Linked DNA regions of Mytilus edulis. The protein of the gene in region 1 binds, or shares a complex with, the protein of each later gene. Links are inferred from orthologs where the notes say so. Each region holds a gene or a part of one and is shown on either strand. Other genes may lie near its edges.

Region 1 (7,906 bases):
TCAAGTGTTTGGCCTTTCACTTTTTCCAACTGATTTCTTTTTGAGGAAACCCTGTATTTATTAGCAATGTTCTCGTTAAGGTACGCACACACGCCCGTGTGTTCTACGGCTTCCTAAAAACACTGGCTGAGTCTTGTTATCATCATAACTTTTCCTCAGCTTTTCAAAAGAAGCAGAAAACATGCTTCTATTCAATATTTTAACCGAACATTCACTTTTGTTTTAATTCAATGTATGTTATGATAAATCCCGAGCAATGCGAAAAAAATATGACTACATGACACACACTAATTGGATAGACGTCGAGAAGATCGATATGTTTTCAAAAACACGTGTACCTATTGAGCAACGGCAAACTCTAAAAGGGACCTATTTCAGCTACTTGATGCAGGGATCTATTTTTAGAACGAAAGGAAATTTCCAATTATAAATATTATAAAAAATAAAAATAGTTTACGCTACGACTGTAAACAGATAAGGGTAAACAACGCAAATGGTAGCCAATAAAAGGGTGGAAAACTCATGGTTTTGGAATATAATTGGGTTTTCCTTTGAATTAATTGGGTTATTGAACCCTGCAATGGGCAATTGCATTGGGTTTTTTATTATTTGTATTGCATGATCACGCAAATACGCAGCTTATCTGGAGCTCTGAAGATACAACAAATCGAACAAACCAATGAGTTCAAATGAAGTAAATGTATACATTTATAAGCAACCATACAGCTTTCAACAATGCGAACAACCCATACTAAATGTATCATCCTATATTGTCACTTTGATTCTTGTATATCAGTCATTTCAAAATAAAGTACAAATTCGGAATCTGAACTTTTCCAAAAAAAAAGTTAAAATAAATGCAAATTAATTTAAAAAACCAATAGCATATTGATTTGTTAATATTTTTTCAAAATATGCAATCTTACCAACACCTGAGAAAATTTTATTTTAAAATTGTGTGCAGGCTTGTGTCAGATTTTGTCCATCCTGTTACTATTTTTAACTGATAGCAAAAGTGATAATAGAAAAGAAAATATCCAATGAAAAGTGTGGCTCACATTTGCATAGCAGTGTTCATTTGAAATCACATTTACATTTATCATTTATGTAGATTACCCAAAAAAAATCTGCAGATAGTCGGTACGTTCAGGAAAATCATCACATTTCTTATTTTTCAAACACTCTTAAAAAAATATTGTGGAGACAGTGGCATTGAAAATTTACTAGTATGTCCCTTTTCAATTATACTAACTGGAAACTTAGTCAATAGATCAGTTATGTTGATTGTAAAAATTATTTTACACATTTTTTGGGGTAACAGGAACGAACAAAGACAGTAACAGGGAGGACAAAGTGGTAACAGTAGAGACAAAACATAATTTGGGTCACGAAAATCAATAACAAAAAACTGGATTTTGAATTTCATAGGGATACGAACGGGAGATATAAGTAAATAAACATTATACACGAACCATTTATACGTGTATCAACCCTGTCTGGGTCAAACAAACAAAACAAAACAAAAACAAATGAAAAATTGTTATTGGTGTTTTTTGTTTTTTTCGTTAAGTATGAAGTAAGATTTTGTTGCCGCAAGTCGTAAAAATCAGTACATAAGATGACATGCCTTTCTGTGAACTACCGCTTTTAAGACCAAGTTCAGCATGTTGGTTCTTATTTATTTATCATATTCTCTTCCTGAATATGCCTTTAAGTGTCCACTGGAGGCTAACCAATCAGCAGAACAACCACCCATCGTTCCGTCTTAGAGAAGGTTGAAGATAGGCGTAAAGAGCAAAACTAATTTCATATGTTTAAAAACATAAGGACAATTTAAAGAACACAACAATACAACTGAACGAAAATTCAAATTATTTTTTTTCTTATTGTCAATGATTCTGATATACATGTATCTAGTTTCTGACACATTTTAACACTGAAGGCTTGTCATTCTTGGATTTCTGGATCATCTCGATAAGTTCACGAAGAGGTTCTGATTTTATTTGGATTCGGAATGATAGCCAACATTCTGGAAGTTGTAGCAGCGTCTCTCAATGATTTTGACAAAGAAAAGCACGGAGGCGTCCAAAAAAAAGGGGGGGGGGTATGTCATTATAAAAATTAATAATACACACAGATTTGCCGCTGGTGTGCTTATTTGTATTTGGAATGGCAAATATATCAATGACCTGCAACTTTAAGAAGGCAATAAATCAATGGGTAGAAATTCTTATATCAATTAATGGGTCGACCCATACGTACATGATGTGCACCTACTGTAGACTAAAATTGGTGTTCTAATATTTGTATCTCCTAATATCATCTCATTTAAGTAAGAGAAGGGATTTGCACATAGTTATTTTATGAATAGGGCAGGGGAGTTCAAACCACAATCGGAGGTATAATATACCCACATTTATATGTTGTGCACCCCCCCCTTTTTTTTTGGAATAAAAGACATTCTTTTGTGTCATGAGTGTTGCTGTCGTCTCGCAAGGTCTGTATCTCTATTTGCCTGTAACGAGAAAGTATCATGTCTCTAAGAAACCAGTACAAAAGTTGGCAAAACATTGCACAATTAATAATGTAGTCCATCCTGTTACCAGTCAAGGTAGCACTTGACTTGTTCTAGAAATACCTCAATACAAATGTACATTTTATGAATTAATATACCGTACGGTAATAAATATGCGTAACAATTTATTTGCGATAATGTAAGAGGCATTTTGAGTTTTCTTACACAAAGTATGTCTATCCTGTTACCATTTTTGTCCCTCCTGTTACCAATGTCTTTGTAACAGGAAGGACAGTAACAGGATGGAAAAAATAGTACATAACTTAAATTGGTTTTATAATAGTCGCTCCCTAATAATTGATGTAGTGTTTTTATACTTCCGGCCCATGCCTAAGTTACGGTAACAACCGTTTCATTAGTCTTATGCAATTAAAAATTATCTATCAACTGGTAACATTAAAGACATTATAAAAAGGTACGCATACATCAATACCTACCGATCTTTTGATTCTGATGACCAAAATCTTTCCACATAAAAAATTTCACCATGTCGTTATGTCCTGTATCCACGCCTACGACGTCACCATAAAAAACCGCCGTTATTTGAGGGAGAAACTAGTTTTATTCCGTAAACAAATAAATAGTAACAGGAAGGACACATATTGATGAACAGACATTCCAGTGACTGTGGAATAAAAGTTGTCATGATTTGAAACATGGAAAGTTATTTATTTTTAATTATGATGTTACTAAATGAAGAAAAATCATTCTGTTTACCTTTAAATGCAGTTTTATGTACAGATAATTTGAATGCAAATGTTATTTATCAAAAATGAACGCATGGAAATTGGCGAATTTTCATACTTAAACGAATATAAAAAAAAATATGAAACTTTTTGCACACTAATATTTGCATGTACTATCTTGCACAATATGTAAACTCTTATGTTAAATTGAAAAAATATGTCAAACTTACAAATAAAACAGACAATAGACATTAACCGAAAAATGTACATTTTTTTGAAATGACTGATATCATGTATATGGTGAACTTAAATGTGTACTTTAAAAAAATCTTATCTTTATTTTTGGAGTTGGTAAAACTTCATCAGAGAATTAATATTAAACTATTTATCTATATTTTCATACATCAATCAATGTCACAGTGGCGGATCCAGAACTTTTCATAAAAGGGGGGCAGCTGACTGACCTAAGGCGGGCCTGCTCCAGTCATGCTTCAGTGATTCCTTATATAATCAACCAAATTTTTCCACGAAAAGGGTGGCCCGGGCCCCTTCCCCCTGGATCTGCCTATGAATGACAATATTATATATATTAAAATATCAACTTTTTCTCTGAACATGATCTCTAAAGGACAGGCCATATAGTAGCCTTAAATCTTAGGATTCAGGATTCAATATTACAAATAACTTCTTGTATATAAATGTTCATATGAACATGCTGTTTTATGATGATATTATTGCTTATTCATATCTGAAAACTTCTGTCAAATTATTACGTTCTTTACCCAACAACGGCCATTTTCTAGTCATATGACTTTCACTTTGTATACAAATTTTTATCACGTGATTTTATTCTATTTTGAGAGAAAGTATAATATAATACATATTACTACAATAAGAATTAACTTTACAGTTGATGTCTGTTTCTTTATGTTAAAGAACATGATTTTAATCATTCTAACTCCCGGGATAATATAATTTATTGGTTTTTTTTTTTATTTAATTCCGGATTTTTACCCGATTTCGATTTTTTGTTAGTCACCGGAACTGCGGGAAAACCAAGAATCCGGGTCCGTTCGCCCTGATTCTCGTTCGCCCTGGTATCTGTTCGCCCTGATTCCTGTTCGCCCTGATTCCTGTTCGCCCAGGGTCCATTCGCCCAGGGTCCATTCGCCCTGATTTTTCATTTGTTCTAATTGTTCTAGTTTCCTAATTTTAAGAGTATAATACTAAATGAACTTGTAAACAAACATGTTTCATGATTTACAGTTCGTACATCATTGTTTTTATTAATTTCAAGCTGAATATTTTATCAAAAGTTTTAAACAAAACGTTTGATTTTTATTAATAATCCATCAAAAGACAAGTATCAAAATAATCAGCGATGCGAATTATTTTGTCATTGAACAATTGTAATGATCCTAAACAAGCCATAAACTTTAACATATTTCGCGGTTTCCATAAATTTCAAGAATATATACCATAGAAATATCTGAATAAGTTTATTCAACTTCAATGCCCTCAATATTAATATTTTTTTAGTAGGGCGAACGGACTATATGGGCGAACGAACTCAGGGCGAACATACCCAGGGCGAACATGTTATTAGGGCGAACGGTCCCGATACCGAAAACCAAACGAAAACAAATCAACGTGCAAACTGCCAAAAGTTTACATATTACCAGTTCACTGGCGAATACAAATAGATTCAAAATTGAAAATGGTATAAGTTTCGTATGAAAACTTGAACTTATTTCTAAGCTCTGTTTAAGGGCTAAAAAGATGGGCTTGATATTGAAGTGTTATTTGCCATTTTGGCCGGTCTCGCTGAGCTCTACGGTTACCCCAGGGGTTAATACAAGCTATACTTAGTGTTAGAGTGCCCTTACCTCTCTTCTAGGTGTCAGTCCCAGCTAACCTTGTCAGGTCCCAAATTTCAGGCGCATTGCCTTGCTCGCTTCGCGTAAGAGAGGGATGCACTTGAAGTAGAGGCTGGAAGTACCTATAGTCGCCGTCAGCTGAAATTCGTAGCGGTTATCGGTAAAAATAATCTAAACTATCAATCGCGTTTCACTCGAGATATAGTTTTTCACATTCCATTCATAAATCGCAAAAAGAAAAACCACTACTGACCTACCTTTTAAGTGATCGCACTGTAACAATCCTGACCTTCACTTTTTCATAGACGATTTTGAATGGTGGAATCAGCCATTGTTTTTACCGGAAGTGTTTCCGTGGAGTTCAATTTCATAAAATTTGCATAAAGCGCGGGAAACCTTATCGCATCAATGAAAGGAACATTTCAGGAAACTGCGTACTGTGACGAATGTCATATGTAAACAAATGATCCTCATAGAAACGAAGATGGCGGAATTACAATGGAAAATATTCCCGAAAATGTGAAGGTCAGGATTATTACAGTGTGATCACTTAAAAGGTAGGTCAGTAGTGGTTTTTCTTTTTGCGATTTATGAATGGAATGTGAAAAACTATATCTCGAGTGTACGCGATTGATAGTTTATATTATTTTTACCGATAACCGCTACGAATTTCAGCTGACGGCGACTATAGTCCAAATAATTATGACGTCTTGAAAGGCTATTATAATTTTTTTCTTTGACGCCTTACTTCAACGTCGAAGTAAGGCGTCAAAGAAAAAAATTATAATAGCCTTTTATCATCGGTATAAAGACATCATTCGTAAATATAGCTCAACATGCAGACTTCTAATACGTTCAGGTATTTCACATCCAATTTTTTATGTAAATATTCTTTATAAAGCACAAAGGTGTCAGTATTCACCTCAGAAACTTACAAAACCTTTGAATAGACTTATTAATAAGGGATATAATTACGATCCTGTTGTCAAGTCATTAAAGATTGCATATTTTGGCGTTAATATTGAGTCACTGATAAGGTCTTTGCATCGGAACTAAACACATTTATTCTAAAAACAGTTGTTGGCATGACACGGGTTATGTTCTTCTCATATATGTTATGATGGTATGATACTAAACCCCTAACGGGAAGGATTGTGCCTGATGTTCATATGATGAAATCATAATCTTTCAGTCAGTTTATTTGAAGTCTGGAGCTGGCATGTCAGTTAACTGCTAGTAGTCTGTTGTTATTTATGTATTATTGTCATTTTGTTTATTTTCTTTGGTTACATCTTCTGACATCAGACTCGGACTTCTCTTGAACTGAATTTTAATGTGCGTATTGTTATGCGTTTACTTTTCTACATTGGTTAGAGGTATAGGGGGAGGGTTGAGATCTCACAAACATGTTTAACCCCGCCGCATTTTTGTGCCTGTCCCAAGTCAGGAGCCTCTGGCCTTTGTTAGTCTTGTATTATTTTAATTTTAGATTCTTGTGTACAATTTGGAAATTAGTGTGGCGTTCATTATCACTGGACTAGTATATATTTATTTAGGGGCCAGCTGAAGGACGCCTCCGGGTGCGGGAATTTCTTGCTACATTGAAGACCTGTTGGTGACCTTCTGCTGTTGTTTTTTATTTGGTCGGGTTGTTGTTTCTTTGACACATTCCCCATTTCCATTCTCAATTTTATTTTAAGACGTCATAATTATTTAGACTAGGAAGTACCCAACTGTTACCCTTGCGTCATGTGTCCCTTTCAGATCCCTCGGTGATGTACCAGTACCCTTGTTACATGTTGGGGAAACCCCCTAGAACTACGGGCCAATTACACTACTGTATATTTTTTTTATTTTTATCAAAGAAATCTAACAAAAACATTTCATATACAATAATACAAATGATTGATTGATTTTACTCTGATCTCCAACGGCTGTTTTGCCTTACCTGCTATTCCCATATCAGTAATTAGATATTTTCCCATCCAATATAGATGAGCTGCTTGGATGCTTCTGAAGTTCTGTCGCCGACAGACTGCCTTTGGTCCATATAAATCAGATCTCAATTTGATAATTTTTCATTTATCTTTTCATTTATATTAGTTTCATCTTCCTGCCACCCTTTATTTTCTCATATTTGGACAGTTTTCACAGTGACCCAACGATTCCAGGATTATCATTATCACACACTATCATTTTCTATGTGCAAAGAAACGTAAAATTGGGGTCAAAACTTTAATTTGGCAAACAAATTAAAAAGATCATATCATAGGGAATGTATACATCCTAAGTTTCAAGTTGACAAAATTTTCCTTGACCAAAAACTTTAACTTGAAGGTTGAAGGATAGGCAGACTTACTTAAATAAGTGATTTTCTAAATCACTGATTCAAGTAACATTATTTCCATAAAGGTTGGAAGTTAGAGTTGTCTTTCTTTAATAATCACCTATTTAAGAAGTAAAAATTAATCACTAGAAGAAGTGATATAATTTTATTGTAGCTTTAAATATAGAATACTAATGATCCAGGGACTAATTATGTTTCTAAACTTATCAGAACCAACATCTGTGTTGTCTAGGATGACTAGGTCATTTCAGGTGATGACCTTGTACTGAATCTAGGATAATGACATAAAAATCACTTGTTTAAGTATCAGACCTCAATTTCCTTCCCAAAAATCACTTCTTTAAGTATCATTCTTTTAATAACCCCCATTAATTTCAACACCCCCGAACAGTGAAATTTTTATCACGAACAGTAGAATTTT
Region 2 (7,197 bases), on another chromosome or scaffold:
AAAAGTATCTATCTATCTTTCATAGTTTGAAAGATAAACATCAAAAACACAAAAAGTCGGTAAATATAGTCATTAATGAACAAGACCTCTTTCAGCAAGGAGTCAAAGAAAATTTCATCCAGATCAATTTGGTATTTGAAATGGCTATCTATCTGTAATAGTTTTCAAGATAAGGGGCAAAACACTAGAAATGGGTAATAAATTGTCACTAAAAGGCAGTAAATGAAATCAGGAGTCTACTAAAGAATTCGGCCATTAGACTTTTTTGTAGATCTTATCTGACTGATCATTTTTGCTATTTCAAGCTTCTATCTATCTATTGTAACTTATAAGATATATGACGAAAATGGGGGAAAAAGTGGTAACAATTGCCACTAAAGGTCAGTAACTCTAATAAGGTATCTTAACAAGAAATCTTACAAAATTAAGAATTAGTTCCCACCCTTTTTTGATTGAAAAGGGCAGATATTTCAGACCAAAATTTAAGAGAGAAAACAGAATATGCTTGAACTGTAATCAAATAGAGGATGAAAAACATAACCTTATTTATTGCAAAAAAATTTAAAATTATAGAAAACAACTATTTAATCAAGATCTGCGCCCTGAAAAAGTTATGAAAACCATTATTAGTTTAATTAACCCACAAAATATTGATGATACAAAAAATATATGCCATTACATAAAATTAATTATGCTTTGAATCTTTGTAATTTTATTCATTTAACCTTGATTTGATATTTTGTCAAACATGATATATATGTATTTATGTGATGTAATATCATGTTAATGTGGGGGAAGACATCATTAAGTCTTTCCACTTTTCTGTGGAAAGACTTATTGTTTTTCTTCTGATTATTATTTTTTTTTTCCGCCAAATTTTGTTCTTGCGATAAATGTTTGTTTCGCAATATGTCGCTTAGATATTTCTCATATGGTATCGTATAGTTTACGCGCTTTTAAATTTTACCCTGCTAAGCCGAACCATTTTCTTTGTAAGAGTTATCTCCCTATTCACTGTTTATCATCTGTGTGCATCTCCTTCGTAACAAAAAAAGATAGCGACAAAATTCTTTTTACAAATTGTTCGTTACATCCTCAGTAATTTTTGGCGCATTTGGAGCGAAGCGATTCGATGAAATTTTATAGGAGTTATCTACCTTTACAAAATAAATTTGTCGGTATGTTTATTTAACTCATAAACCGTTAACTGTATAACCCTGGAATGTTTTTATTTGAGTCCAATGGGTCCCAACTTAGAAAATGAGGTCAAGGTCAAAGGTCAAGGTCAAGTTCTAAATTGTGACTTTTGCTTGTTTTTGCATTTTCTCCGACACTTTGAGAGATACACATAAAAGAACAAGTGCAAATGTCAGCTTTATTGTAATGAAGATATGTTACATTTAGTCTTATACAATTAAATGGCATCTTATAGGAGTTGGTGCCCCTGAAATGTCTTGATATGAAGTTATTTGATTATAACTTCAATTAAGTTCATTATAAAGACATTTGACCTCATACAAAAGGTTAAGTGACTAATGACCTTGAAAAATGGCTACCGGAAGTGACCTTTAGAAAACCGGAAGTAGCTATTTTTGCAATTTCTTTCACCTAAAAGTACCCAGAATCCATATATTTTGTCATATAGATACATGAACAGATTACTGAAGACTAAAAATGACTTCCAACAAACCGGAAGTGGCCAATTATCTCCCATTCTACATACAAAAGTATATAGAAACTATATATTTTTGGAATCAGTGTGAAAGAAGCTATCATATGAGACCGGATGTGACATTAATTTCACCGGTAGTAGCATATTATCTCCCTTATATCACTCAAAAAGATAATTAAACCATCATTTATCGCATCAGTATAAAGAAACTACCTTCTTATCCAAATTACTTTAGTTTGGAAAGACTTTCAATTGTTCTCTGAACAATTGGTTTTTAATTATACTTGTATTGATTTTCCTGATTTAATAAAAACTTGTATCATCGGACGATTTCAACTACTAAACTTATGGATCTTGTGTTGCTGATAGTTTTCAGTTTTCTGATTTATGTTTCAATCTACCTATTTTAATTTTTCTGACATTAGACAATTTTTTTTTAAATCGTCATTAAAGGGCTATTACTCCAATCAGGAGTCGTCTGACGATTTTGACATTTTTTGTAGATCTTATCTTGCTGATCATTTGTGCTTCTTACCGTTTCTCTATATCTATTATAATTTCAAGATAAAAGATCATAATAGGCAAAAATGGAGAAAATAAATGATAAAATTCTTCGCTTTTAAAAGGGCAAAATCTATAGACATTAGGTAGATCAGCATTGTAAACTCGCACCTGCAAAGTGGAAAGGGATTAACATAAGTTGCAAAACTTATTTCACAATCCACTATAAATAAATATGTTTAAACTAACCATGTTCAAGAATATTGGACATTTCCAAGCGAGATAACCCTACATTTTTTTTTAATAAAAACTCTGATAGTTTTAAATTGCTCACCGAGATATATAATTTATTATGACAAATGATATCTCGTATGTGTATTAAAATTAAGTCTTTATAATTTTGGTAAATTGACATAACCTCGGTTTTGAATGTATCTGTGTTATTCAATTGTTCATTTTCCCCCCGAAATATATCATGGTCACAGTATATCAAATTCATAAACTGTCATTTTGATTGCATTTCAAAATGCAGTTGACAACAGAAAACATTGAGTTAAAAAAAAATCTTGATAATTAGATTGTTTCATCATTTTTCAATCTTATCTGCTATGGAAAAATTAACTGCGACGAATATCGGAATTTTTAAGAATTTTTTTAAGTCAAAGGTACAATAACCACAATAGTAACATAGGGAAAAAAGAAAAAAAGTATGAAGGCTATTTTCAAATGTCCATTGACAACAGTAAACGCTGACTTTATTTTTTTTTTTTTTTTTTTAAGTATCATATTTGGAAATCCTTCTTAAAGTTCACTTGCTATGGACATTTTTTATCACGTTTTTTGTAAAAAAAAGATATTTTAAAAATCATAACAGGGTATAAGTGTTTTCCGTTTACATCAATGATAACTATAAAATTTATAAGATTTATCTAAGACATAGCACGTGTACTGATTAATTTAAAAATTTAAATGTCCTTCATTCTTGTGTATGGGATGACGGACACCAAATGTGTGAGAAGTGAACTTCGTTTGCTATTTTCTATAAAGTTTGTCATGGTTTAAATCAATCACTAAATTCCAGAATCTATAAGAATAAAACACAGTGCATTTTTGAACAGATAACTAAAAATTCATTACACAAAAGTTTAACAAAAAAAAAACCCCGAACTTGCAAAACATTTCGGGCTTTTCTCGTGTTAATTGTCGAAAAAAATAATAGAACCCTACCTTACATTCAGGAGAAGAGGGTAGTTAAAAGTAAGATATGAGAAAATCGGAAGCTAACTGATAAAAGTGAAAAGTCAACAGAATTAAACTGTGACTTGATTGATGAAGATAACCTGAGTCGTGTGTGTAAGAATGCAGTCACGGATTGATTGGAGAAAAAGAAGACATGACTGAATGAGCCATGTAGATGAAAGGATTTGTGTCTTTTGATTTGATTAGGGACTTTCCGTTTAGAATTTTCCTCAGAGTTCAGTATTTATGTGATTTCACTTTTTTTTCGCAAACAGTGACGGTTCCTTTCCTGACATGAAATCAAATCTTATTGAGTCAGCAAAATAATTGTTAGACTCTGAACCATGTTGCTATAAATAAAAAGAACAAACTTACGCAGGGGTTCCATCCTTTTTCGCCAATGGAGTTAAATCAATTAAATGTCCAGAATCTGTTAGACAAGAACATGCTGATTTTTTAGTGCAACTCTTTGCTAGAACGTTCGAACTACATAGAATCAAAATGATACAAACACATGAACATCCAAAGGTAAATTGTAACATTTTGAATTAAGTCAACTTACACCTAAATCGTCATGTGATTATATTGATAATAGATACGAGAACTGAGTTTCATAGGGCTTTGTTACGTGATAACACTTTAATGTAGATAAAGATCTGAAATGAGAGCATAGGACGTTGGACTAATCAATTACTCGACACGTTTCGTTGACTTGGGTCTATATCAATAGAAAAATTCGTTATTTTGTTACTATTTTTATTTGTATACATAGTAAGCAAGTCCGGATCTTTTTCTGGTTTTTCTCGGTAATGGGCGGAAGTTTAAAATTGTGATTTCCGGTTAAATAAAAAGAAAAACACGATGGAAGACTTGAGCACTTTGAAGGTTTTTAAAATAAGTTTCTCCACAATCATAAACATAATGCGTTAAAAAAAATAATGTCAAAAGTAATCATGATAAAAACTATTCTCATATGGCGAGAATCGGGGGTCAATTTGTCATTTTGGGAGCATGGTTGAATGTTCATGGAATGGCAAAAATGAATTTGTATGACAATACACCTTATCGCTAATCCCGGCTGACCCGGCCGCTTGAACTTTTGACGTCAACAACAATCACTTTTCCATTGTGGCGTCAGATATTTTGTTTTATGACGTCAAAATTTTAGGGGAACCTGTGTGATTTCCAGCAATGGCGGACAAATAGCGATAAGGTGTATGAGAGTAGGTGCCCTGTACTGCCAGGTGTCAAACGGCCATTTTCGGTTATCGTTTACGTTAGCGTCAAATTGGTTGACATTTTATCGTGATTCATCAAAATAACCTTATTGTGATTCGTCAAATAACCTTATTGTGATTCGTCAGAGGTCTCATATTTTTTTATCGAGGGTGAAGCCCTGTGGAGGGTCCAGGGGGGGCTTTGCCCCCTGTAAGCTCCTGGGTTTAAGGAAAAGGAGATACTATGGTCAAATTAATAAAAAATAACTTGTAATTTTGGCATTTTTTTTTCAATGGTGTAGCTTTGATGTGTTACCAGAAAGCCTAAAAAAAATAGTTTTGAAAATGTGATGTACAAGCATAAATTTCAATCCTCTTGGTTCAGTGTCTTTTCCTGCAAGACACCGACTGTGACTGTCACATGTACAAGAAACATATTATTATATTTCATGAATAAATATTATAATTTATCATAGGCTGCACCCATACATCATACCATATTTGCATTTTGACTAAGATGTTTTTATGTGTAACAGTATAAATATTTACATTCTAATTATATTTTTTATGACAATCAATGAAAAACATTCATGGCTTATCTCCACTGACAATAAAACATTTACCCTTGTATTTTGAGGGACGAAAGTTATCATGCTTAACAGTAACACTTTGGTATTTTTGATAAGTAAAGTTCTATGTACCGTAGTTTAAGTTACTTGGTAAGAGAAATAAGCCACTAATTTTTCTCATTGGACCCTGTAATTGAGTACTTAAATACAAATATTATTATATCAATCTGATTTATTTGATTCTATTAAAACATGTTGTTATTTTCATTTTGTTCATCATCATCATCCTCATTATCATCATCATCTATATACATTTTTTTGATTGCAGCCTGCACTTCAAGCCTTACCTCCTCTCTGTCACTTAAACTTGTAAGAGAAACAGGCTCTGTCTGTACTGACATGTCTTGTACTTCAGTAATATTTGGAATAGGATTTTGTTCGTTTTTCATTCTACAATTTTGTTTTACTGCAAGTTTCCTCCTGTTTTAAGTTCCTATCCATGTTTCCACTGCTTTTGGTACAGTGAAACCTGTCCAAACCGAACACCCATGGGACTTTGTGTTTTGTTCGGTTTTCACAGGTGTTCGGATTGTGGAGGTAAACGGAAGTGGACAGCAAAATGATTTAGACACTGACGACGGACACCAAATAATACACCAGACGACGGACACCAAGTAATACAACAGATGACAAGTATTGTCGTGTTGGTTTCAATATAAAATAAAATAAAATATATCAAAAAGTTATTTTATAGATGCAGAAAAAACAATTACAATTTTTAATGAACAATAAAGTGCAAGTTCAAACTGTTAATCGATCTCATTGTACAGAGAAATAATTATCCAATGTTGTCTGACGTGTAGCTAGTTTGCTTTTTACAATCAAGTCCTCGGTCATTGAAATCATTTGTTCCGTTTGATCTAGGTAACGGCTATCCTTAGAAATAGAAAAATTGCGCAACTTTGTCAATAAATCCAAAATGTCAGTATGGTTCATATCGGAACCGGGTTGAACCTCTGTTGGAATGTCTGTGTCAATATCTTCGTCGGATTCGATTAAAGTATCTCCAGTAAATTCCCTGATTAAGTCCGTTTCCCACTCACTATCAAATGCTGATTCGGTGGCCAAATTGTCATCAACATCGTCAGCTTCTGTAATTTGTACACTCGGATCCCTTGACCTTAATTGTTCCACTAAATCGGCTAACGGTATGTCGTCATCCGGGTCTTCAGGCTCATCTACAATTGTTGGGGCCTCTAAGGGGAATCCCGCATCACGAAAACATGATTCAATTGTTGTGGATTTAGTTTCGTTCCACGACTTCTTAATCCAGTGAATGGCTTTTAAAACGTTTATTTCTTTGCAAAGTTCAGTAACTGTATTGCAGTTGTCAATTTGTGGCAGTAAATGTTTGATCATGTGCTTTCTATATCTCGCTTTAAAGGCACGAATAATACCCAAATCAAGTGGCTGTAGTTTAGAAGTCGTATTTGCTGGGAAAAACTTCAATTCAACATTACTAAGCTTTAGATTGTGCGAGTGAGAAGTTGCATTGTCAAGGAAAATTACGATTTTCCTAGATTTTTTCCGCATGTCCCGATTAATGTCCTTTACCCATTCAGTGAAAAATGTGCTATTCATCCAGGACTTTTTGTTAGCCTTCCAAGTCACAGGAAGCGATTTAACATCCAAATTGCGAAAACATCTAGGTTTATTAGCGTTACCAATGACTAAAGGTTTTAGTTTCTCGCCTCTGACACTACAACACAGCATAACAGTAAGCCTTTGTTTTGACATTTTACCCCCTTTACATTCTTTCCCACGCTCCGCTAATGTCTTGTCAGGAAGGGCACGAAAGAAAAGGCCTGTTTCATCAGCATTGAACGTATCCCTTGGGTCATAATCTTTAACAATTTCGGGTAATTTACTTTTAAATTCTGCAACAACGTTTAGATTCACATCAGCACTTTCCCCGCAAACTTTGAAAAATCCAATACCG

Evidence for each region. The genes of interacting proteins can lie anywhere in the genome.
Region 2: THO complex subunit 6 homolog (region 1) and SAP domain-containing ribonucleoprotein-like share a complex: the UniProt entries of both Homo sapiens proteins name them as parts of the transcription/export (TREX) complex. The link is inferred for Mytilus edulis from reciprocal best matches to the Homo sapiens genes THOC6 and SARNP.

The regions. Positions count from the first base shown.
Region 1 is NC_092349.1:58,726,200-58,734,105, forward strand, and holds the start of THO complex subunit 6 homolog, read left to right. Parts: upstream 1-4,892; 5' UTR 4,893-4,978; coding exon 4,979-4,981; intron 4,982-5,147; exon of another isoform or gene 5,148-5,276; intron 5,277-5,391; exon of another isoform or gene 5,392-5,486; intron 5,487-7,906. Other genes in the region: serine-rich adhesin for platelets-like, read right to left, coding at 4,044-4,057. UniProt on the Homo sapiens protein: Component of the THO subcomplex of the TREX complex which is thought to couple mRNA transcription, processing and nuclear export, and which specifically associates with spliced mRNA and not with unspliced pre-mRNA.
Region 2 is NC_092345.1:85,205,226-85,212,422, forward strand, and holds the start of SAP domain-containing ribonucleoprotein-like, read left to right. Parts: upstream 1-4,176; 5' UTR 4,177-4,273; coding exon 4,274-4,297; intron 4,298-7,197. Other genes in the region: uncharacterized protein, read right to left, coding at 3,788-3,954. UniProt on the Homo sapiens protein: Binds both single-stranded and double-stranded DNA with higher affinity for the single-stranded form. Specifically binds to scaffold/matrix attachment region DNA. Also binds single-stranded RNA. Enhances RNA unwinding activity of DDX39A.